Linked DNA regions of Danio rerio. The main gene of each other region encodes a partner of the protein of the gene in region 2 in a complex. Links are inferred from orthologs where the notes say so. Each region holds a gene or a part of one and is shown on either strand. Other genes may lie near its edges. The genes, in order: eif3f, eif3ja and eif3ba.

The links.
Region 1: eif3ja (region 2) and eif3f share a complex: the UniProt entries of both Homo sapiens proteins name them as parts of the eukaryotic translation initiation factor 3 (eIF-3) complex. The link is inferred for Danio rerio from reciprocal best matches to the Homo sapiens genes EIF3J and EIF3F.
Region 3: the proteins of eif3ja (region 2) and eif3ba are in contact, whole or in part, in an NMR structure (PDB 2KRB), measured with the Homo sapiens proteins. The link is inferred for Danio rerio from reciprocal best matches to the Homo sapiens genes EIF3J and EIF3B. Residues at the interface, in NP_003749.2 of Homo sapiens: Asp45, Glu46, Asp50, Asn51, Trp52, Asp53, Asp54, Asp55; in NP_001032360.1 of Homo sapiens: Lys202, Asn205, Val206, Ile207, Lys209, Ile210, Lys213, Asn249, Ala250, Asp251, Gly252, Tyr253, Lys254, Leu255, Phe261.

Annotation. Positions count from the first base shown.
Region 1 is NC_133176.1:11,699,003-11,707,166, reverse strand, and holds the start of eif3f (eukaryotic translation initiation factor 3 subunit F), read right to left. Parts: upstream 3,991-8,164; 5' UTR 3,964-3,990; coding exon 3,852-3,963; intron 3,673-3,851; coding exon 3,602-3,672; intron 2,464-3,601; coding exon 2,384-2,463; intron 1,230-2,383; coding exon 1,092-1,229; intron 1-1,091. UniProt on the Homo sapiens protein: Component of the eukaryotic translation initiation factor 3 (eIF-3) complex, which is required for several steps in the initiation of protein synthesis.
Region 2 is NC_133200.1:34,318,119-34,324,854, forward strand, and holds the end of eif3ja (eukaryotic translation initiation factor 3 subunit J-A), read right to left. Parts: intron 4,490-6,736; coding exon 4,358-4,489; 3' UTR 3,402-4,357; downstream 1-3,401. UniProt on the Homo sapiens protein: Component of the eukaryotic translation initiation factor 3 (eIF-3) complex, which is required for several steps in the initiation of protein synthesis.
Region 3 is NC_133178.1:40,715,609-40,723,772, reverse strand, and holds the start of eif3ba (eukaryotic translation initiation factor 3, subunit Ba), read right to left. Parts: upstream 4,089-8,164; 5' UTR 3,959-4,088; coding exon 3,856-3,958; intron 3,470-3,855; coding exon 3,277-3,469; intron 2,218-3,276; coding exon 2,098-2,217; intron 272-2,097; coding exon 214-271; intron 112-213; coding exon 1-111.

The DNA.
Region 1 (8,164 bases), on a different chromosome or scaffold from region 2:
TCTCCGTTAAACAGAAATAAAAAAGACCTACAGTTTCGAATAGAGCTGTGAACCTACACTAGTCTCACAGTTCGGTTCTGATTATCATGCCATCAATTCGGTTGAATTCGATATTTCGGTGCATCACGGTGCATTGACGGTGCTTTTCATACAGAGTTTTATATTTTCTTCACAGCAGCAGTTCTTGTATTAAAATGTATGAAGTTATTTATATTTACATATTATTTGTAATACAATTTTGTCATTTAATGCAAACAGTCAGATATATAAACTGTAACTTTAAACAAAACGAGCATTAAGCAAATAATATAAACAAATATAAATATCAAGCTCAATTTCTGATCCTTGTCTAGTTCTCTCACACCTCTTTGATTGGTCACACCCTCAACAAACACGGTTGCGATAAAAAACGTAAGTGCTGCGCTCTTCACAGATGAGTGACACTGATAAGCGGCAGGGGCGATCTCACAGCTGATGTATGATAGACATGGTGGAGAAAACTCTGAAGACACGCGCTCGGTTCTTTAGCCACTGTGTGTGTGTGTGTGTGTGTGAGAGAGAGAGAGAGAGAGAGAGAGAGAGAGAGAAATGGAGTACTTTCATTCTCTCGATCTCAGTGAAATAGTTGTATATGTCAGTGAAAGACTGATCCAGCAAACACACAGTGAAATCGTGCACAGTTTATGAGTTTTAAGTAGTTAGAGCGTTGTAAATACTCACTATCGCCTCCCTCATGACAGAGCGCATATGAGGTAAATGACGTCAGTATTAACCAGTTATGATTATTACTGAACCGATACCAAATTGTCCATGTCTGCATCGAGGTGCACCGAAGAAACGATTAATTTTGACACCCCTAGTTTCTGACTTAAACTGTATAAATTATTATATCATTTGCTATAAAAAAATCTTTGATAATATAAATATAAACAAGCATTTTCTATATATGCATATACGTGGATACATGCATTTATTTATACCCATAACAAATATGCACAGATAGTACACAACATTATTATGTAAACATAAAATTTTAATTCATAAGCGATTATTGTACACTAGTCAGCATTTGTTTGTTGTGGTTGTGTTACCTGACGTAGGCCCGGATGTTCATTTTGTTGCTCTGCAGTGCCGTGTCCACAGTGAGGTGAATAGGGTTTGGAGCCTCTCTGCTGTAATACTCATGGATCAGAACCGAGTGCTCAGTGATGTCAAATCCTGTGGCATACCTGCAAAAACAACACAGCCTCTTTCTTCAGTGAAACAACATTCCTTAAGTTTATCTGAAATCAGATTCTATTATTATATTTTGAAATATTTTAGATAGTCATTTTTGTAATATTTTCCATTTTAAGTTCTAATAATTCTGTTACCTGTATAATTATTCTTTTTTGATATATAGATATAACCTACATTATGGAAGCTACCCTGTCACAGTAATCAATATATGAACTTATCGCATTGATAAGCCGTGTCATATTATATTGACATGACCTCAGACATTTTTAGTGATGCAATATATATCGCCCATACATAAAAATGAATTCTAGCAACATTTCAGCTGGTTTTGCAACATCTCGATCTCTATTGAGGTGTCAGTATGGTTTAAAAAGCTCTACAGGTTTTACTATAAATTGCTATAGAAGATTTTCATGTGGGTGTCTGACAACTAAAAATAGATCTGCTAGCAGATATCACAGCTTCTGTTACTTTTTGCCTTGCACCTTTTTGTTAACATTTATTATTATTTATGATATGCGTTTTTACAATCTCATTCCAAAGCCATAGGATAACTAAATTAAATAGTCTTAACAATAAAATATTATGTGTTCTTTGTATGAGTGTACTTGCATTGTGGTGATATTATATTGTCATTCTGGTATTATATAATGAGTGGCATAGAATGGTATTAAAATCACAATAAAATCATTTATCGCAATGTATTTTGGTGCAATATACCGTACAACAAAAACTAGATATATCGTGACAGGCCTAATGGAAGCTTGCTTTTACAATGGAATAAAAGGCAAATATACTTAAAAAAAAGAGTAGCAATATAAACTGAACTGTAAGAACAACAAATGAAAATGAAATGAATATCTGAATTGTGAAATATAAACTTGTAAACATGAGATATACATTTAAAATGGCTGCAAAAATAAATCATGGGACTGTAGGAGAAAAAAATATCATTTTATTTAATTTTCTTATTTTAGTTATTTTACCATAGCGCAAAGCAAAATGCATTAAATGAAAAATAACAAATGTTCACAAAAGTTTCTAAACCTTCTAAAAATATAACAAAAAATGTGCTTACAACAATAACTTAACAAAACTTTAGCAAAGAAAAGAATTATATTAATTTGGAAATGCGGCCACATACCATCCAACAATGACTTCACTCGGCGAAACCTTCTTATGAAGCTCATACATGTTCTTGGCGAACTCCATGTCAACAGCCACCTATTTAAAAAAAATAAAATAAAAATAATTTTAAAAGGTAAATAAATTGCACAATGATGATGATTAAATGCTGGTGCTCCTTAGTAAAGCATAAATAACATATGGTACATGTCCAAAAATACAGTAGCATGTAACATGACACTTTTGAATTAAGTTGGTTTTATATTTGAACATTCAGACACTCGTGTTCAATAAAATAGTAAAGCAAATTTTAAAGAGGCTAATACAGATTCATTCATTTTCTTGTCGGCTTAGTCCCTTTATAAATCCGGGGTCGCCACAGCAGAATGAACCGCCAACTTATCCATCAAGTTTTTAAGCAGAGGATGCCCTTCAAGCCGCAACCCATCTCTGGGAAAAGGCTAATACAGATAAATTAGCAAATTGTTATAGTTAAAAAAAAAAAAAAAAAGCTTATGAACTCTATGAAAGGTCCCTACATTGTTTACCAGGCTACATTGAATAATCGGTCTGAAATGCATGACTTCAAAATAGGCATGGGACGATAACCGTTTTCAAGGTACACAGTGATTTAAAAAAAAAACTGATGTTTTAAAACCGCCAAAATTATCTGCTATAGATGAATTACCAGTTTGTAAACAGTAAAAAAAAAAAAAAAAACTGGAGCGCTACCATTTAGCAGAGCCGTAATCACTATGTAATACTGTGAAAATGTGATATTTATATTAAAGAATATTAACGTCAGAATTGTATACCGGCCCATGCCTACTTTAAATCCACATTAGCACCATTTAACTGACTGTAAACAATGTTGTACTTTAATAGTCACTGGCTGTTAATTTGAGTTGACCGTTTAGGATTTGACAAAGAATACCTTTCTGAAATTACATTAAGAAGGTGAAAGTCTGAATGTGCAAATATAAAATCAACTTTACCTCACTTCAATTTTGGCTGATGGTTTGTAAGTGTATTTCAACCAATCAATTAGCTAAAGATGCATAACAACAGAACATGAAATACCACAGATGTCTCACTCGAACCCTTTAGACCATTACAAAGTTACAGTGAGATACCTGTGATGTGAAATTGTTTTGTTTTTCGTTATGCCTAAAAAGCTACATAAATGTCTGGCACACACTAATGTAAAGGATGTATTAGATGATGCTTTTTTTCTCACCTCATCTTCAGACTCGTTGTGAGGAACAGAGAAGCAGTTGGTGACATCGACTGAATGTTTATCTGCTGTTCCTGTTTGACACACAAACACAACCACCAGGTAAGTGATGCTGCTGATCTGTACAGTTTCTCATCCACCCCAGCCATTCAGCTCGACTACAACACATGCTCCACAAGACCAAGCGACGCTCATGTTGTTTGTAATAATCGCAACTGTCTCATAAATCTCACACAAGAATTCAATGACCCACCTAATAATGTCCCGATCACGCGACTCGCTCCTTCATTCCTGCGCTCGTATGAGTCCACAATCGAAGCCAAAACCACCGGGTGGATTTTCACGACCGGGCCGTGCACCGCCATGATTTCGAAGAGGAAGTAAAAGATGATGATAAACAGAGAAGAAGAGCGCGTCAGTGGGATTCGCGCTGCCGCCCCCTAGCGGATGTAGGTGGCTGACAAAATAATGTGTAAAAAATTATAATCAAATAAATAATTAAACACAGCATGTAAAGTTTTAGTGGGTGGGTCAGGTTAAAGTTCTTCGAGGTTTGCTTGGTACATATCCATTTTTTCAATGGACAATTTAATAGCAACACAACTGCATGTTAATGCCAAAAATCGGATCAGCTAACCACATGGCAGCAATCCAAAACATTTAGACATGATGAAAACATGGCCAAGACAACGCACATGAAAAGATAATGGAGTAATTCATAGTAAATTGGCTACGATAGTGTTTTTGAAACAAATGATAGTAAAGTTTATTATACTGTAGGCCTATACTATAAAGTATTAAGTTAACAACACATGCTAATAAATGCTACTGCATTATCTATAATAAACTGTGTAGGCAACTGTAGTATATTTTAGTTTTACAACAGTAAATTGTGATGTATTATCATGTAGCCTAATATATAACTAACCACAGGCTATTGGGCAACTTGTTTTGCTATAGGCCTAGTTGTTGTAATAACATATCATTTAGGCCAGAGGTATCCAATCTAGGGCATGTGGGCCAAACTTGGCCCTTGATAATCTTTGATTTGGCCCACCATCCCATCTGAGAAGAGAGACTGATAGGGAGGGTTGGGACAATTGCCTTTAACAGAGATCTTAATTTCTAATTTAACGCAACCTTGGTTTGTTTGATTATTTTATTGCTGATCTACAAAAAAAAGGTAAATGAAAATAAACAAGTCAAGGCAGAGGGTGCAGCTTTACTAGTGTAACTCCATTCTGTTTTAAATGAATTTTGTTTTACTATAAAAAGTTCATTATACAGGTGAGGCAGTGGCGCAGTAGGTAGTGCTGTCGCCTCACAGCAAGAAGGTCGCTGGTTCGAACCTCGGCTCAGTTGGCGTTCCTGTGTGGAGTTTGCATGTTTTCCCTGCCTTTGTGTGGGTTTCCCCCACAGTTCAAAGACATGCAGTAAAATGGGTAGGCTAAATTGTCCGTAGTGTATGAGTGCGTGTGTGAATGTGTGTGTGTGGATGTTTCCCAGAGATGGGTTGCGGCTGGCATAAAAAACTTGCTGGATAAGTTGGCGGTTCATTCCGCTGTGGCGACCCTGGAATAATAAAGGGACTAAGCCGACAAGAAAATGAATTAATGAATGAAGTTCATTATATAATAAAATCTGCATAAGATAATATGAAGCAATGTTAAAGTTATTTTTAAATATTAAATTAGGAAACCACCAATGCAACTTTAATGAAATAGAGTTTGGTATGTTTACATTCGGCCCACCACCCTCAATCAAGCCCTTCATAGGAAAAAGTGTGGGCACTTAATGTAATTTCAGTGAGAGACATTATTTACATTATGTCTTTGGAAACATTTGAAAAATCTTTGTTATTTAAAAAAACAACATGCATTTTGGACTACTGGTGGTGCCTTAATTTTAAGTTTCAGATGGAAACGCTGAGTTATATTGACACTGCCTGTTGATATTTTTACATCAAAATAACTCAATATTACAAACATAAGAACAATTCAAATATTAGTATCTGCCACATTGTGTGTTTTTTGGTTGCAACTTTCAGACATGTGGTTTCTGACTAGCGACTGCTGTCTTGCACATAAAATAATGAGTGGCTTAGTCCATTCATTTATCAGGGGTTGCCACAGCGGAATGAACCACCAACTATTCCGGCACATGTTTTATGCAACGGATGCCCTTTCAGCTTCAACCTAGTACTGGGAAACATCCATACACACTCATTCACTCACACACGCACACACACGCATGCACACACACACACACACACACACACACACACACACACACACACACACACACACACACACACACACACACACACACACACACACACACACACACACACACCAGTGAACTTCTTGCTGTGAGGCGACAGTGCTAACCACTGAGCCAACATGTCGCCCGACCCCCACACAGTAAGTCCAAGATAAGTGTGTTTTTAAATGATAAACACCATTTACATTATATTAGGCCAACTACCCAGGGTTTCTTTTAAATTCCTTTGGGTTTCCATTACCATTTTTAATGCACATTTTGAAGTATCACATGAGAAACAAGTAATGGAAAAGCTAATATTAAATAAAAGTAGGTTAACAAAAAAAAGGTTTTACAGTTGTAACATTTGCTAAATAATCTCAGATATAGCGAATATTACAATATAACCAATCAGCTGTCTCCATTATGCTAACCTTGTTTACTGTATGTTATAATCAGCCACTCTAATAAAAAGCACCTTATTTAACACATTTGAGATATTGCCTTTCTTTTTGTTCTTTAAAGACTTGCTTCACAATGCAACCCTGGCTTTGTGTGGATTGCCTGAGCATATTTCAGAAACTGCAAAGTTTCAGGGATTTTTTTTCACTCACAAAATACCAAGGGAGTGACATTTCTCATGGGTGAAAATGCATTGTTGATGCCAGAGGGAAGAGGCGAATGAAAATAAGCACTTGTTACAATTGAGTTCTGCAGGAGAGCATCTCTGAACACAACATGTCAAACCTTGAAGCTGAAAACTACACAGGAGACACTCCTGTCAGATAACAAAAGAAACCGAGGCTACAATTCACCAAGATACACTAAATTAGACAGTAGACGACTGGAAAAGTGTTTATCTGGCTTGACGAGATTCGAATTCTGCTTTGACTTTCAAATGGTAGTGTCAAAAGAACTGGCATGAACCACATGAAAGCATTAAGCAGTATATGAGAAGTTCAAGAAAGAGCATAGACCTGATTTATTCTAGTTTGATTTAATTTCTAGCTTTTATTAAAAATAATTATGAGTAGATTCACATTTTTGCATTAGGTGAATTTTTAGTCATTGGTTAATCACAATTTTGCTTGAAAAAAAAAATTATATATATATATATATATATATATATATATATATATATATATATATATATATATATATATATATATATATATATATATATATATATATATATATATATATATAGTCATTCTACAAGATTTTGCAGAATAAATGGTGACAAACCAGAAACACAAACTGTTGTGTGTGCCTGCAGCTCTCAAGGTCATGTTTGTAAGCTGCAAGGCAATCCAGGAACAATGAAGGAAAAGATTGGACTCCAAATCCAAGGAAAAACTCGTAAACAACCTTTGACGTCAAGGTCACAGGAAGACTAAAGCATGCCGGGTGCCAGAAATGACAAGAAAACTTTATCACTACTATTTTTTTATGGTTTACTTTGTCAAAACAACTTGTTAGGATTTCAGTGTAGGCTGTTGACTGCTCACAGCAAGAAGGTTACTTCGAGTCCTGGGTTCTGGGTAAGTTGGCCTTTCTTTGTGGAGTTTGCATGTTCTCCCTGTGTTAAAATGGGTTTCCTCTGGGTGCTTCGGTTTCCACCACAGTCTAAAGACATGTGGTATTGGTGAGTTGGATGAATTAACTTGGCCGTGTGTGAATGAGTTATTTCCAGTACTGGGTTGCTGCTAGAAGGTCATCCGCTGACCCCTGTGACCCCTGATAAATAAGAGACTGAATGGAAAATGAATGAATGAATTAACATTAGGTTAAGTTGTCACTCCTGCCTTGACGGAGGAAATTTGACTGTACAATATGCCCAGCAGATGGCAATAAAGTTCATTACTTTCATAGCTCAAGTGCAGTATTCTTATGGCTTGATCAACCCAATTAAAACACAGACCTCAAAGAGAAAGCCCAAACAAGTGATTTCAAGATATTTATATACATTCTAAAAAAAATGCTCTGAAACATAGACAAACCCAATTTTGGATTCAATTTTAAAATTAAATTTAAATTACACTTTTTGTGTCAACCCAACACTTGAGTTTGTCCATATTTGACCTAACAATGGGTTAAAACAACCCAGTATTTTCAGAATGTAGGCCACAATAAGGACTCAAATCTGTAAATAAAAAAAAAAAATAATAATAATAATATATATATATATATATATATATATATATATATATATATATATATATATATATATATATATATATATATATATATATATATATATAAATTATTATTATTTTTATTTATCTTTTATTTTTTGAGAAGTAATGA
Region 2 (6,736 bases):
ACTCCCAAGCAGCCACTTGTTGCTTCTCCAGTGGGTCCCTGGACTCCAGTTTAAAAGCCTATATCGAACATATTAAGCAATACATTTCCATCCCGTCATTCACTATTTTAAACGTAACACACTTAGAACTTCATTTTTTTTTTAATCATGATTTTTTTCAGGTCCAGCATTTTCCCTGAGCACATGCATCCCTTTAGACTTCTAGTATTATATGCAACATGCGGAGTGAAGATCTTTTCATCTCCAGCTTCACTGGTACCTGATTTGCAGGTTCCCTTGAGTTCGGCCTCTGCTTTTCCATCTGCTGCTTCTTCATGAATGCAGACCAGCCCTTCATCACACTTCCCCAGATAATCCCAAGTCCCTCCACAGTTTTCCCCTGCCAGTTTAGCACAGACCGGACAGCAACCACAAATCCCAGTGGTGATGCCACCCCGACACTGGAGCTTCAGCGCCCGACGTGGGGAACAGTGGATGCGTTCACAGGGCGGACAGTGCAAGGATTGGAGGATCTTCTGCTCCTCCATTTCCACCGCCGTTATCATCCACAAGATGAGCAAGATGCATGGACGCATGTTACCCAAGACGGATTGACCTCAACCGTACACCCCTTTTATATAACGGCCCACAAAACCAAGAACGCTCAAGAAAAAGCAAACCTCCTCCCTCCTTCACGACCAATGGATTACGTTTGTTGAGTCTGGATTTGCTGTTAATTATCCCCAAGTCTTATCTTTACAATCGCTCTGTTGTTTTCCTTTTTGTTGGAAAACCAGTGAGTTGGACTAAGGGGAAAAGACTGGACCCTTTGTGCGCAGGTCACATGACCAATAGCAGCAGGTGCAATTGACGGCGCGATCAAGATAATCGGCCACGAGCAACAAGGACACGATTGGGACATTGGCAGGTTATCTGAGAAGACCTGTGTGCGCGTGTTTTCATAAGCTGCTGCGCCATAAAACACCAGTTTCCGTCTGGCATTCGGTTTTCTGTTGAACGGTTCTTCAAACAGTCTCAAAGGTCACGCCCCTGACCGCTTTATCCTTAATGAACGTCTACTTCAGATTGTAAAATATTAGATGATGAAACTAGTTAAAAAGTACACTACCTGACAAAAGTCTTGTCGCCTATCCAAGTTTTAGGAGCAACACATAATCACTTGACTTCTAGTTGCTCATTTGGTATCAGACGTAGCTTAAAAGGCAAATGCCTCTATATTTAGCTTATTTGACCAAAATAAAATAAGATCATGCCTTGATTTTTAATGATTTAATTAGGACGGTAAGGTAGTGATGGTGACATGAAGCTTTCTGAACCATTAAAGCGCTCGACTCAATTGTATCGGAAAAATATTCGTTACTTGAAGCTTTCTAAATCAGAGCTCGATGAGGACCTCTTCTGGTTAAAGTGTGGGAAAGCATTGTGTTGCAATAATTTCAAATGTTCACTACTGACCAAGGGTTTACTCAGTTAGCTGGATTTGGATATTGACGATTTGACACGATCCAGGATCGTTTCGTTCTTCAAGGCTGATCCGAGAGTTGTTGTCATAGCAACAGTTCTGGTAGATCAGACCTGCTCGGCAGCAGGTTCAATTCATATAAACAGGATTAGATCGGCTCAGTGCATGCAAAGAAAATACTGAAAGTATGTACCGAATGCTGATATTTTCTTACAGTAGTAGTTATATACACGTGAAAAATAGTAACTATTTTTAACTATAAAGTTATAGTTATTAACAAAATAAATACATATGAATACATATTAAGTATATTAGTACATATTAATTACATATTAAGTTATACATATTAATAAAACTTATGCAATCTTCACCCTCGAAATGAAAGTACAAAGTCTGCCACCTGGTGGTGCAAAGAGAAAACTTACTGGTATGAACTTTCTAGATCGCTTTAGAACAAATTGTGTATAATAGAAATGCATAATATGTGACTTTTTTTAAACGCAATAATACATTTATGCAGTCATAAACATGTTTTGATAGTTAATATGCCGGTGATTTGATGCTTCACGAAAGTTGCAGACGCCTTTACCAATATCAAAATGCTTTTGTAAACATCAAGTTATTATTTACACCGATTAAAAAACGGCGACTATAATAAAGAAAATCTTTTCTAAATGTAGAACTAAATACATTGAAATACATGATGAATACCCTTGACACATGAAAATGTAAAGCCTGCAGCTCACAACAAATGTGGAAGGTTATTGCGTGTCATAGTTAACAAACGTTTTACCTCTAATTTGATGTAATTTTGCTCACATGGATAATTGAACATTAATCAGTTGATGTCATCACGCTGCCGTCAGCCAATCGCTGCATTGCTGATCATGATTTCGATGATCGATAGTTCTTTCCTTCACAACACATCCAGTGATCTCAGATCAGTTCATCCAGACATTCTAATCTGATTCGCGAGTTTGAAGAACCAAATTAGCCAGAGGTCAGTTATCGAGATGAAAAGATCCAGGATCTGCCAAATCATCTTAGATCATTTAAGCGAGGTAAGAAGAACGGACCCCAACTCATTCATGTAGTAATACAACAACAGTAATATAAACAAATTACTCATTTACTGCTGTTTTTACACTTAAGGTAAGCTACATTACAACCACCGATGACTGTAGTAAAATCCAAGGTATTTACATTCATCATATACCCACTGGTCCAGTTCCAAGCAGGGATCGAACCAGCAATTCCTGCATGAGAGTGGAATGCTCTAAAGAGGAGGCTAAATCATTTACTAAGTACAAAAGTACAATTATTAAGCACATTTTAAATGTGGTTATAAGTCAAGAATAGAGCATTTGTAGCTGCAGTTATAAACTGCTTACTAACGTTTATTAATGCTTAACAGATAATGAATTCACTATTTGCTGATGCTTAATAAATGATTTATAGTGCGTAGTTATTATAAAGTGTTACCGAAATGTTTTGTAACTTTAATAAAGATTAACTAATATACAATAAAGACTATGCATAGTTGATTATTTAATACCTGAAAACTATCATTCACTTTTATCTCTACTATACGTTATTGATCTATGTTTGTAATTTATTTGTTATATATTATTCGAGATTCCTTTTAAATCATCTGATGAAATTGTATTCACATCATAATATATAAATCACAGAAATTCAAAATACCGTAATGTCAGATTTTTCCAATATCGCGTAGCCCTAATTCAAGTTTACAGATATTTGTTCAACTAATTTCCATGACTTTTCCAAAACTTCTCCAGGCCTGGAAATTGCCATGTCAAAGCTCCATGACTTTTCCAGGTTTTCCATGACCGTATAAACCCTGTCTCTAGCCCTCAGAAAGAATCTACAAGCTCTAAAAATACACTACCAAAAAAAGCAAAGAACACACAACCACTGCTGGATTTTAAGCAACTTTTATTAAATTAGATCTTTATAAAACAGTGCAGAGTCCTATCATCGGCTTTGCTGATCGTAAGCCTCTATGAAGCATCTCTACCACGCTGCGAATTGTCAATAAAATGGAAAGCCAAACGCCGGCTGAAAAGACCCTACATCGACGTTCAGTCCCTTATACATCAGCATAGCGTGTGTGTGAAATCACGCTAGCATGGCTGAGCTCAAATGAACCACGGCATAATGTTATATCTGTAAATATTTGCGTAATTCACTCTGCAAAAATTGAGGTAATCCAAATACCGCTGCGACGAAAACAAATCAGAGTAATGCTTTTGGTCTGAGACACATGGAATGCATTACGAGCTACAAACGTAAAGGCGTTATTGTCAATGCGTTATGCTCACGTTAATTACGCTACACTCTAGATTGACTTATCTAAATGAGCTCACTATAGCCTACGATCAAAATAAACGTGATTGTACACATGATTTAGAAACCACGTGACTTCGATATCAACATTTCGGGTTGAGTTAATCGCCCTGGTTTGCAAAAAGGAACATCCCGTAGACAAATAAAGGGTTAATGTCGCGTAATGACATTGAGATCAATCCGGACTGAATTTTGCATAGCGTCATTTATTTCCTAGAAATACCGAACAATAACACTGTTTGTTTGTTTGTTTGTTTGTTTAAGCCAGGGCTGTGGGGATTAACTGATACTGCAGGTTCACATTTGTTTTATCGGGTTTATTATTCCAACCTAAAGTCACGACAGGCCAGAGGGAAAAGAGCGCAGTTTATTGGTACTCTCTGATGGGAAAGTGTGCATTGCGTGGATGACGTTCAGAGTTATTTAGCATGTTCTGGTTGTGGGCCTGACAGTGGGAGAAGGTCATGCTGTTAAGGTGTGTGTGGTTCAGCAATCAGCAAAAAAAGTTAGAGTTGGGTTAAGCCTTGGTCACATGAAGTCCTCATAGTCTTGTGCATAACCGCCTTCAAACCCGCCGTAATCTGCCAGATCGTCTTTCATCTTGGCTTTTAAACCTCCCCCTGGTAAAACTCCCTTCTTTTTCTTTTTACCTTTGTTTGCCTATAGAATAGGAGGAAAAAACAATTACGAACACATTTTATATTAAGGTACACAGTAATCTGTGTGGAGTTTGCATGTTCTCCCCTTGTTGGCGTGGGTTTCCCCCACAGTCCAAAGATACACGCTATAGGTGAATTGATTAGATTAAATTGGCCAAAATCAGTGTATGTGTGTGCATGTGTGACTTGGTGTTTCCCAGTGATGGGTTGCAGCTGGAAGGGCATCCGCTACATAAATCAAATGGAATAAGGGACAAAGCCGAAGGAAAATGATTGAATGGGACTTGCAGCACAGACAGTAAGTAAACCCTTTCACAAAATCGATTTCGTGGAATTGAATCGAACGGATTTGTTTGTGTGGATGGCCTTTGCATCCACGGTTCCGTCACTTGTTGAACAGGTGGCTCGAAATGCGGCTACCGATAAACAGCAAAACGGATGAACTTGGGACTGATGCTTTGCATCGAACATGCGCAATGTATACAAAAAACTCAACACAAGTAAAGAATTTGCCTGTCCGTGATGCTGGGGATACAAGCAGAGGAGCTGAACATGCACTGCTGCATGGGCCTCTGGCTATGATATTGCCGGTTGGGGGAATGTTTCTAATATAAGTCGCAAGCAGATGCCAGTATTAGCAAGTCATGAAACTGGACACCTCAGATGCAGTTCTAGACAAGTGTATCTGTCTGCAAGACAAGGTGTAACATGGAGGGGCGTAACTTGTAGTAAGTTAGAGAGGTGTAACTTACAGTCATCGAGATCCCATTGCGAGATGTAACAAGATGACAAAAATACTTAACAGAGAGCATTTTCATGAGCTTTCTCCGAATTGATCCACAACCTATTCATTTGATATATTATTACATTCATTTAGCAACTCCACCATGCAACTTACTCGCCGACTTCATCCGTTTTGTCATGACAGTACTCGGCATCGCCTTCTGTGGTTGCAAAAACAGTACAATGGCGAGCACATCAAATATGACAGTCTCCGCAACTCGCAGCTGTACGTTAATAACTGATGGTTGGGTTTAGGGAAGGTGTAAACGTTAATAATGATGATGATTGGGTTTAGGTGGGTATAGACGTTATTAACTGTGATGGCTGGGTTTAGGTGTGGAGTAGACATTAATAACTGATTGGTACATTTTGACATGTGGGTCTTCATAACTTCAAGTTATGCCTCTACCACAAGTTACGCCCCGGTCTTGCAGTCCACACACAGACCCTACTTCTTCTAGAAGATGGTGAAATTCATTAAGGTTTGTGCGCCTCTTTGTGGTGACATAAACCCAAACACAACAGCATTTTAGAGAATGTGTTTATATCCATGTCTATACTCACAGGATGTTCTTCACATCATTTGTGATGATAAAAACATTTGTGCGAATGAATGAAGACTATCGCACAAGTAATTTAGAGCGAATGAATTGAATGCTCTCTTTGCATTTAGTGTGAACACGACATTAGAGCTTCTATAGACCATTTTGACAAATGTAAACAAAAACCATTTTCCCAACGTATTTCCTGTTTTACATTTAGCTTTCGACAATCCAAAAAGAGCCACATGTTGATAGATGATGTTATGACAGCCGTTTTAACATGAACTTATGATTGAATTGCCTATAGTTATGAAATACTTTGATAACCAGCAGGAAATGTTTATGGGCGACTGATATGACCATATTGAAATGGTCTACATTTACCCTTTTAAACTAGATTTTAAAATTACCCAAAATTCCCATCACTAGACTTGATTCAATCTTTAGATGTGCTGCGTCTGAAACCGCATACTTCCAAACTATATAGTACGCTAAAATCAGTATGCAAACCGAGTAGTATGTCCGAATTCATAGAATTCGAAAATCAGTATGCGAGAAGTACCCGGATGACTTACTACTTCCGGCGAGATTCTAGAGTGCGCATCCCATGCATGCTGCGCTATCCAATGATGCCCCGCGAGCGAATTCATGAATGGGAGTAAAGCGACGCAACTGACGCAGGTAGGTCACGTGACCATGACAAAATGGCGGATGTAGTCTGTCCGAATTCCATTCATACTTTTCACGTTCATACTGTATAGAACGTACTTTTCTAACGGCCGAGTAGCACGTTTAAATTCAAATGCAGTACCTACTGAGTAGTAGGCGGTTTCGGACGCAGCCATGGTTTCTTTTCAAGTTACTCTCACATATGTCCCTTGTATGCAAATTGCAGACTTTACTGTCTACGTCTGCCTGAATTC
Region 3 (8,164 bases), on a different chromosome or scaffold from region 2:
AATAGGCTCCTTGACATCATTGGCGAATATGCCCGTTCTTTCACCAGAGTCATAGATAACGCTGTACTGATCACGACAGTCAGGATCCTCCATCCAGTGGCGCAGATTACCCTGTAAAAGAAACACCAAATATTAACATTCATTAATTTTTGTAATAAAAGATTTTCAGTAGGTTATGACGACAATGACAATCAAAAATATTATTAAACTCACAAAATCTTTAAATGGCTGCTTTTCAGGAGCTTCCCACTCATCACAGATTGACATGTACCTATGTGGATAAAAGACTTTAGATTAGTGATCAGTTGATTATTAATGCATCACCTGATTTTCTCTTCCATGTTATTGTATGTGCCACATTTTTGCATGTATAGCAAAGTATGTAGGGCTGCAGCATCACAATGTATGCATCTGCAAGTCACATCACAAGGTATCAGGCAGGAATCCCAAATGACAATGCACCATCGGTCAGGGGTGCGTTTCCCAAACAACGACGTAACTCGCAGCTGAACTATCATAGTACGTTGCATCGTTTGGGAAAAGAACGATGTCGTGACAAATATTTCCCAAAACTCGTGGTTTCTCTGTCGCAGATCCATCGCTTGAACCACGTTAGTTTTAACATAAAACGCCCATAATGATGCTCTAAACAGGGTGGAGTAACTACATCTTTAGAGAAAAACTCAAATTCTTTGTGCCAATTATATTGTTTTATACACACATGCATTTAAAATAAAATCCAATATTAGAGTTGGAAAAAACATGCACTTGTTTTTCATTTTTACTGAAATCTACATAAATGTATATGTAATATACATTAAAATTCATGTATTAAATGCATAAATTCTGCTTTTAAATAATAGGTCTCCCACAGCTTTCGTCATGAGGCTGTGTTCAAAATTATATCAATATTTTCAAAATGCACTGCGAAGGTAGCACATTTGTAAACATGAAGATCGCTAAAACTGAACCGTAAAAATAGTTAGAAAGCAAATTACACCTAAGAGAGATGACCTTAATGTTTTTTTTTATTTTTAACAATACCAACTTTTAATATTAGAATGTTCTAAATGAATAGCGCATAGGGGGATAAGTGGGAATAGAACACAGCCAGGAACTATGTTTCTAACTACAGCTCCAGACAGTGAGACTTTTCATTTGTACATTTTGTTAATGCCTGTTGCTGTGCAAACATTCTAACAGATTAAATGCATTTTGTTTACAGATTATAGAATATGTAACATATTTTAAATTGGATTATGCTCTGTCCCTGAATACTGTCAAGACTGCCCAGAAAACAAGCAATGTTTCTTTTACTTCGGTCTTTGTTTTATTCCATTAATTTATGATTTGTAATTTGATATTATTTATATGCAGAGTTACTCCTCTGCAAAATCACCCCAGTCATTCAAAAATAAAACATTCTTTTCTAAATAAAGATATCCTGTCAAATTGTTTTCATATTGCAATAAACATAGAATCTAACATTGTAGCGTCAGTTATTTCCAACATCATGCAGTCCAAGTAGTATGCTTTATTTAAAAGGAAAGTTCACCCAAAAATAACATAAATTCTCACCATTTACTCTCCCTCATGTGGTTCCAACTCTACAGGAGTTTATTTTTCGAACATAAAATATATTTTAAAAATGTTGGATAATGGTAGCCAATGCCTTCCATAGTGAAACAAAAATACAAGTCAATGACTACCAGTTTTCAGCTTTTTGCAATATATCTTCATTTTTGTTCATCAGAAGAAAGAAGCTGAAATATTTGCTTAAAGCAAAAGAAAGGCGACAATTGGGGTGAAATATCCCAAAAGGTATCAAAAAATTACATTTTAATATTAATCTATTAAATATTAATAGATTTTTTTAATACTGATATCAGCATCTGCACAGCCCTGATATATTTCAAGCTAAATTGAGAGACGAACTGATCTGCCCTAAATGAAGTTTGAGGCATTAGAAACAGCTTGCCAAAATGCATTCTGGAAATGATAGACAATACTGAGTATAAATTATACAACACTGTAAAGGTTCTTTCATTAAAGCAACCTATTGCAGTACACTACTGCAGACCCTAAAAGATAACTTACTTGTCAAAGTCAGTGAACAGATTGACACGGAAGGTGTGCTGCTTGTCCAGCTTGTAGCCATCAGCGTTTTTTACCGCTTCATGAGCGTGACTTGGTGCAGAATACTCTAGGAAAATGTACCTGTAATGATAAAGCATGGAAAATTATTATAGACAAGTTTATATCTATAGCACATTTTATACTCAGTGGTTATTCAAAGTGTTTTACATAAACAGGAATAAAAGTATAAGAAAATAAAATCAACAAAGAATAAATAGGTTTTAAAAGAATGAAAAAGAAGACATAATAGTGCGATCTGTCAATACGTCCTATAATCCATAGAAAATATATACAACATTGCAAACATGCCATTAATAACTAGTACACATATACACTTTAAAACCTTAACAGAAACCTAAAAACTAATACAGATAGTTTGTGCTCAACTCATTTTATTAGACCATAAAAAAAATGTAAGGTTTGTGCCACAGCTGCCCTCTTTTTTTCTGTAATGGTTAAACCACCAATACATTTAAGCCTTTTAGTCACACACAGTAGTACTTGTAACGTCAAATTAAAATAATTGTTATCTGAGAACTTCCAAATTTACAAGAAAGACTTGAAAGCATATGTTTAAAAAAAAAAAAAGAAGCACATTAAGACCATTTATCGAGATGCCCAATAGCAGTTAATTACTTGCAGATTTCAATATGAAGATAATAAGATATGAAGAAAGATAAGTTATATTTGTGCAATGTTACAGTTTTCTGCAAATGCAGTTTGTGTTTTGCTAATAAACATTATTGGTTTTTAGTTAGTTTTAATGGCATTTGACAGATTACTTAAATATTTGTTTTCTTTTATAATAAAGTGTCTAATGAATTTAAGAGATAGTTCAAGCAATATGAAAATGCTGTAATTTACTCGAGCACCAGAGAAGAAAATGTCTTGAGGAATGTTGGAACCAGCAAGCCATAGAATCCCATAAAAACGTTCATACTACGGATATCATTGGTTAGTTTCCAACATTCGTCCAAACAATTTTAGAAAAAATAAAAACAAGCATTTAGAACCAACTTCACAGTGACTAAATGTTGATGCTTGGGTGAACTACCCTTACGTATTGCATCAATTATTGATTAAATGTCACCAATGGTGCATCCCTACATCCCAAAACGCACCAAGCAGACCCAAACATACCCCTTGGTCTTTCCATCTGCGTCAGGGTAGAACTCATTGGTGATTTTGCCAAACTTTGAGAAGATCTTGTGAATGACGTTCTTGAGCTTTTCCAGGCGATCAGGTCCGACCTGAGGCACATTATCAACCACGATGACTGAGTCGATGCCGTCAGCCTCCTGCGGTTTGTCCCTGAGAACATCCCCCAGCAGCTCTGAATGACCAGAAAACACACAGATAGAGTTAGTACAGTTAGCACAACAGCATTTGTTAAAGCAAAACGGCAGTACAATGACGTTTCTGAAGCCAAAAGCATAACAGCTGCTGACTCTATGCTGTTACGACACTAACGTTAGTCTATTTCCCTAAAGCTACTGCTAAGATGCTTTTGTCTAGTTCGCGCACATGCTGGACTTAAAGAGAAGCTTTGACTAACATAAAACGGCATTAACTGTGAAACAGCGTAGTTTATCAGCTTGAAAGATTGACACACAAATAAACCAAAGGATTTTTGTGTTAGCTCGTGGCTGACATGCTGAGCTATGGGGTTTAGTGTGAGACTGGGATCGGCAGGCGCGCTAAAGCAGGCCTCTCTCTCACCCTGATCACTGATGTCATCGTCGAAGTCCTCCGGATCACTGAACGAAGGCTCTTCTTCATCGTCATACTCCATTTCGGCCTCCATGTTCTCCGTATCTCGCATTTAGAGATCGGTTGCTGTGGGTCTGTGCTGGTTAGAAGGTGGTGGTGAATTTCACAGCAGTAATCCAGATATTTTACTCACTCGGCCATGTGCAAAGCAGCCGGCGCCAACCACTGCGAGCGAGAGAAGGACCGTACCATGTGCGCGGAGAGCACCTCAGGGCTCTGTTGGAGCGTTAGGATTCATGTACAGCATAATTGAAGGAAAAGGATAAAAATTTGCTTCATTGGCAGATTATGTGAGCTTAACACTTTTATGATATTTGGTTAAATTGTATACAATGTGTAGTTTTGTTGTGGAATATGACATGGCAGACCCCTTTTAAGTGAACTTGGTCTCGTCTTCTGCTTATCGCTCTCTGAACTTCCTGTTCATGTGACAAGAACCTCCCGTACAAGAGCGCGCAATGTTACCATCAGTTCTATTGTCCATCTCTGGCGACAGACAGACAGACAGACAGACAGACAGACAGACAGACAGACAGATAGATAGATAGATAGATAGACAATAACACTAAGTTAATAACAATCAAAACATTTCTATACTATTATAAAATATGCAAACTTAAAGGCACAATATGTACAATTTTTCTATTAAAATTAAATTCATGTCTTTTTCTTTAGCTCTTTTACAACGTAGACAGTGTCAAAGCAGCTTTACCTAGATAGAAGTTTTAGTAGATTGAAACTCTAAATCCAGTTTTCAGAGTTGAGGTTCAATTTATTTCAGTTCAGTGTGGTTTAAATTTCACTGTTGAAAGTCCAAACACTGAAGAGCAAATGTCCCAAGCCAAGCAAGCCAGTGGCAAGAAAAAAAACTTTACCAATTGATGAAAGTGAAGAAAAAAAAACCTTGAAAGAAACTAGGCTCAATTGGGCATGACCATGGCCAAACTTCCTGTGCAGAGCTGCAGTCTAGGCGCCAGATGCTGGAGAATGCTGAACGTCCATTATGTAGAACTGCAGGTGTGAGTAGGTCACCGGCGGGTGCTTAGGCTAACCCACAGGACCAATGTGAAGGCTCTTCTGTCACTGGGGTCTTTCAGGAATCAGTCTTTTGCTCTCTATGACTGCCGCAGCGTCAGCTCAGGATTCGGCCTGGTCCAGGATTATAAAGACCTTGGCATCATTTCTAGGATCGCATTAATGGTGCTGCAAAATATCTAGGCGCCTCGGGATAAGAATCCCCAGGTGAAAACAGAGAATGAAGAAAATAATGTGCTATAAATGAAATGTCCAGTACCACCTTTTTGACTTTTGTACTTGCAGTATACCAAATGTTTTGAAGAATGTTCAAACCCAGAGAAATCCACAATTTTACTCTCATGGACCTGCCATGCTTATGACATGAATCACCATCATACACCTTCAATAGTGTTTAAATAGTGTTTCATAGGACCAAACAGAACCTATTTAAAACAGAACCCTAAATGTACATAATTTGATAAAACCACTACTACTTCCCATGCTGTTTGTGTGCTGCGCATCGCTCATCTCTCATCAACAATTGCTTCAGCTCTTATTTCATTACTACAGCTTTCAGTTTTATGCCTCATTCACACTAGCATCGGCTTTGTAGCTGCCCATCGCTCTGCTCTGGGTGACAATTGAGATGCTAGTGTGTTCCCACTTTGAGGTTGCTTAGGTAACTTTTTAGGTAACACTAAATATAAATGGAATCAGTACATAAAATGCTTAATTACAAAGATGATCAAGAAAAAAGTGTGTTCTCTGTCATTGCAGCAATTATCAGCTGCAGAAGCAGGTCTGTGTAGGTCTACAACACAGAGAATACAACCAGCCTCTGCAGGAGAGGGCAGTGGGGATTTTTTTGATACTATCATTTAGAAAACGTTTCGTTTCCTCCTAGCCATTCTTTGATATTATTATTCCATCTTCTTGTTGGTCTTCCTACTCGCTGTTTCCAATTTCTGCTTTTTTCAATCCTTTTACTCTGATTAATCTTTTTTTTTTTCTCCAATGCTGCATAAACCCGGACAGACCCAATTTACAATCCTCAATAACATCGCAAATAGTCTTTCCTCGTCTCAGATTTGTTTTGGATTCTTTCATTTGTTCTGTTTTTATGATCAAATTTTCAGGATCCATCTCATTTCAAAAACCGTCTATTTTGCGATGTTTTTCTCAGTGTCAGATTTTTGTCCATTATAGGTTCACTTTATTTTTGTAATGAGTAAAATCATAATTACCTAAAAAATTATTAAAACTCATTTTATCGTTTACTGTTTCTAATCTTTCCTAGTACTGTATATAGAAACCATTGTTTAAATCTTCTCTTAGGTCCCTCAAACATCATTAAACTAATTATAACATTAGCATATGGAACCCCCGATAATGGGCTCTGTGCACAGCTAGTGTTTCCAGCCAACGATAAACTTCCAGTGAAAGGTTTATGTGACTTTTCAATTTCATAAGGTTCCTTTACAGCATCGATGTTGTAATGTATAACCAGTAGGTATTTATTTAGTTGAATACAGAATACAGGGGTAGATGAACATTTTCATATTTTAAAGATAAAGTGGAGAAAGTGGAATTTAATGCTTCTTATTGTCAGGTCTGATACCCACTTTATTTAAAATCTATCAGGCAGAGAAGGTCACTGATTTTTAAAGAAATCAGATCTTAAAATTGGTTTTTGTAATGAAAAGACAGCTCACCAGCACTGGCTGTGCATGCATTCATTCATTCATTCATTCATTCATTCATTCATTCATTCATTCATTCATTCATTCATTCATTCATTCTTTTTCTTTTCAGCTAAGTCCCTTTATTAAACGAACCACCAACATATCCAGCATGTTTGTACACAGCGGATGCCCTTCCAGCCGCAACCCATCTCTGGGAAACATCCATACACACTCATTCACAGTCATACACTACGGACAATTTAGCCTACCCAATTTCACTTGTGCCACTTGTCTTTGGACTGTGGGGGAAACCGGAGCACCAGGAGAAAACCCACACGAACGCAGACAGAATATGCAAATTCCACACAGAAACGCCAACTGACCCAGCCAAGGCTTGAACCAGCAACCTTCTTGCTGTGTGGCTGTGCATACATCCTATTGTAAATAAAAAAATAAATAAAAAAATACATGCCCTTATTTTCTAATTGTCATAATCCTATGAAACCATTCGATAATTTGTGCTCAAAATGTGCCGAGTTTTCATTTCAGAAATCAGATGACCTCTAAGACTCTGTGACTGATTAATTTATATAATAAATACATTTGCAGCTCATCAGTTGCACTCAAAATGTACCAAAAATATGCAAAAATTCAAAAATATATGTTGTTTAGACTTAAATATTTGATAATCAAAATATTTGAATTATTTAATAAAATATTTTAACTCTCAAAAACTGAACCTTCTAGCTACTATATGCAAATTTAGGAATAGGAATAGGTCGATATAAGATTCTGATGGTATGAAAATCTTGATTAAAAATGTCACAGTTTCACAGTATTGTGATCACTGCAATAAAATATTCTTAATAAATATCTGGGTTAAAAAAAAATGTTTTTTCCTATTGAACAGAATATTTCTTTTATTTTAAGAAACATAAAAAATTGGAGCATTAAACAGGTCAGGCTCAATATTTAAATACATCATTGACGTCTGATATCTTTGTAAGTTTACAAAATACAGATTTCTTGAAAAGAACTTGAAAAGGCATCCTTAGATATCTTTCTTTGGATTTAAAGTAAGTAAGCCACTCCACTGTTCAGGTGCATATAGCACATAGAATGCACATAGCAGCATTGGATGTTGGTTTATAAGCAATTTGTTTCTCAAATATTTGCTGAATCGTGGGCTGACTAGTAGCTTTTGATGTGGAGGGGTTTTTTTTTCTGCTGGAGATACTGTTGCCCTAAAAACTATTATTTCAAAAAACATTTACATATACCTTACAAACGGTAGAAAATATTTATGGTTTTAAAATCTTGACTTTTCCAAAACACTGTACAGCTTGTAAACGGTTATCGTCTCATGCCTATATAGGAAATATTTTCTATTTCAGTAAAGCTTTTCTTCCAAGACATGCGTTCATGGGTTGTAAGCATATAGGGATTTTTTTTTTTTTTAAATCATAGTATTTTGTATTTTCCTTTCTTTTTATTAATGTACATTATTTTGGTAGCTGTACCTGTACTCATTAATCTTGAACTGTAAATGAATGTAACAC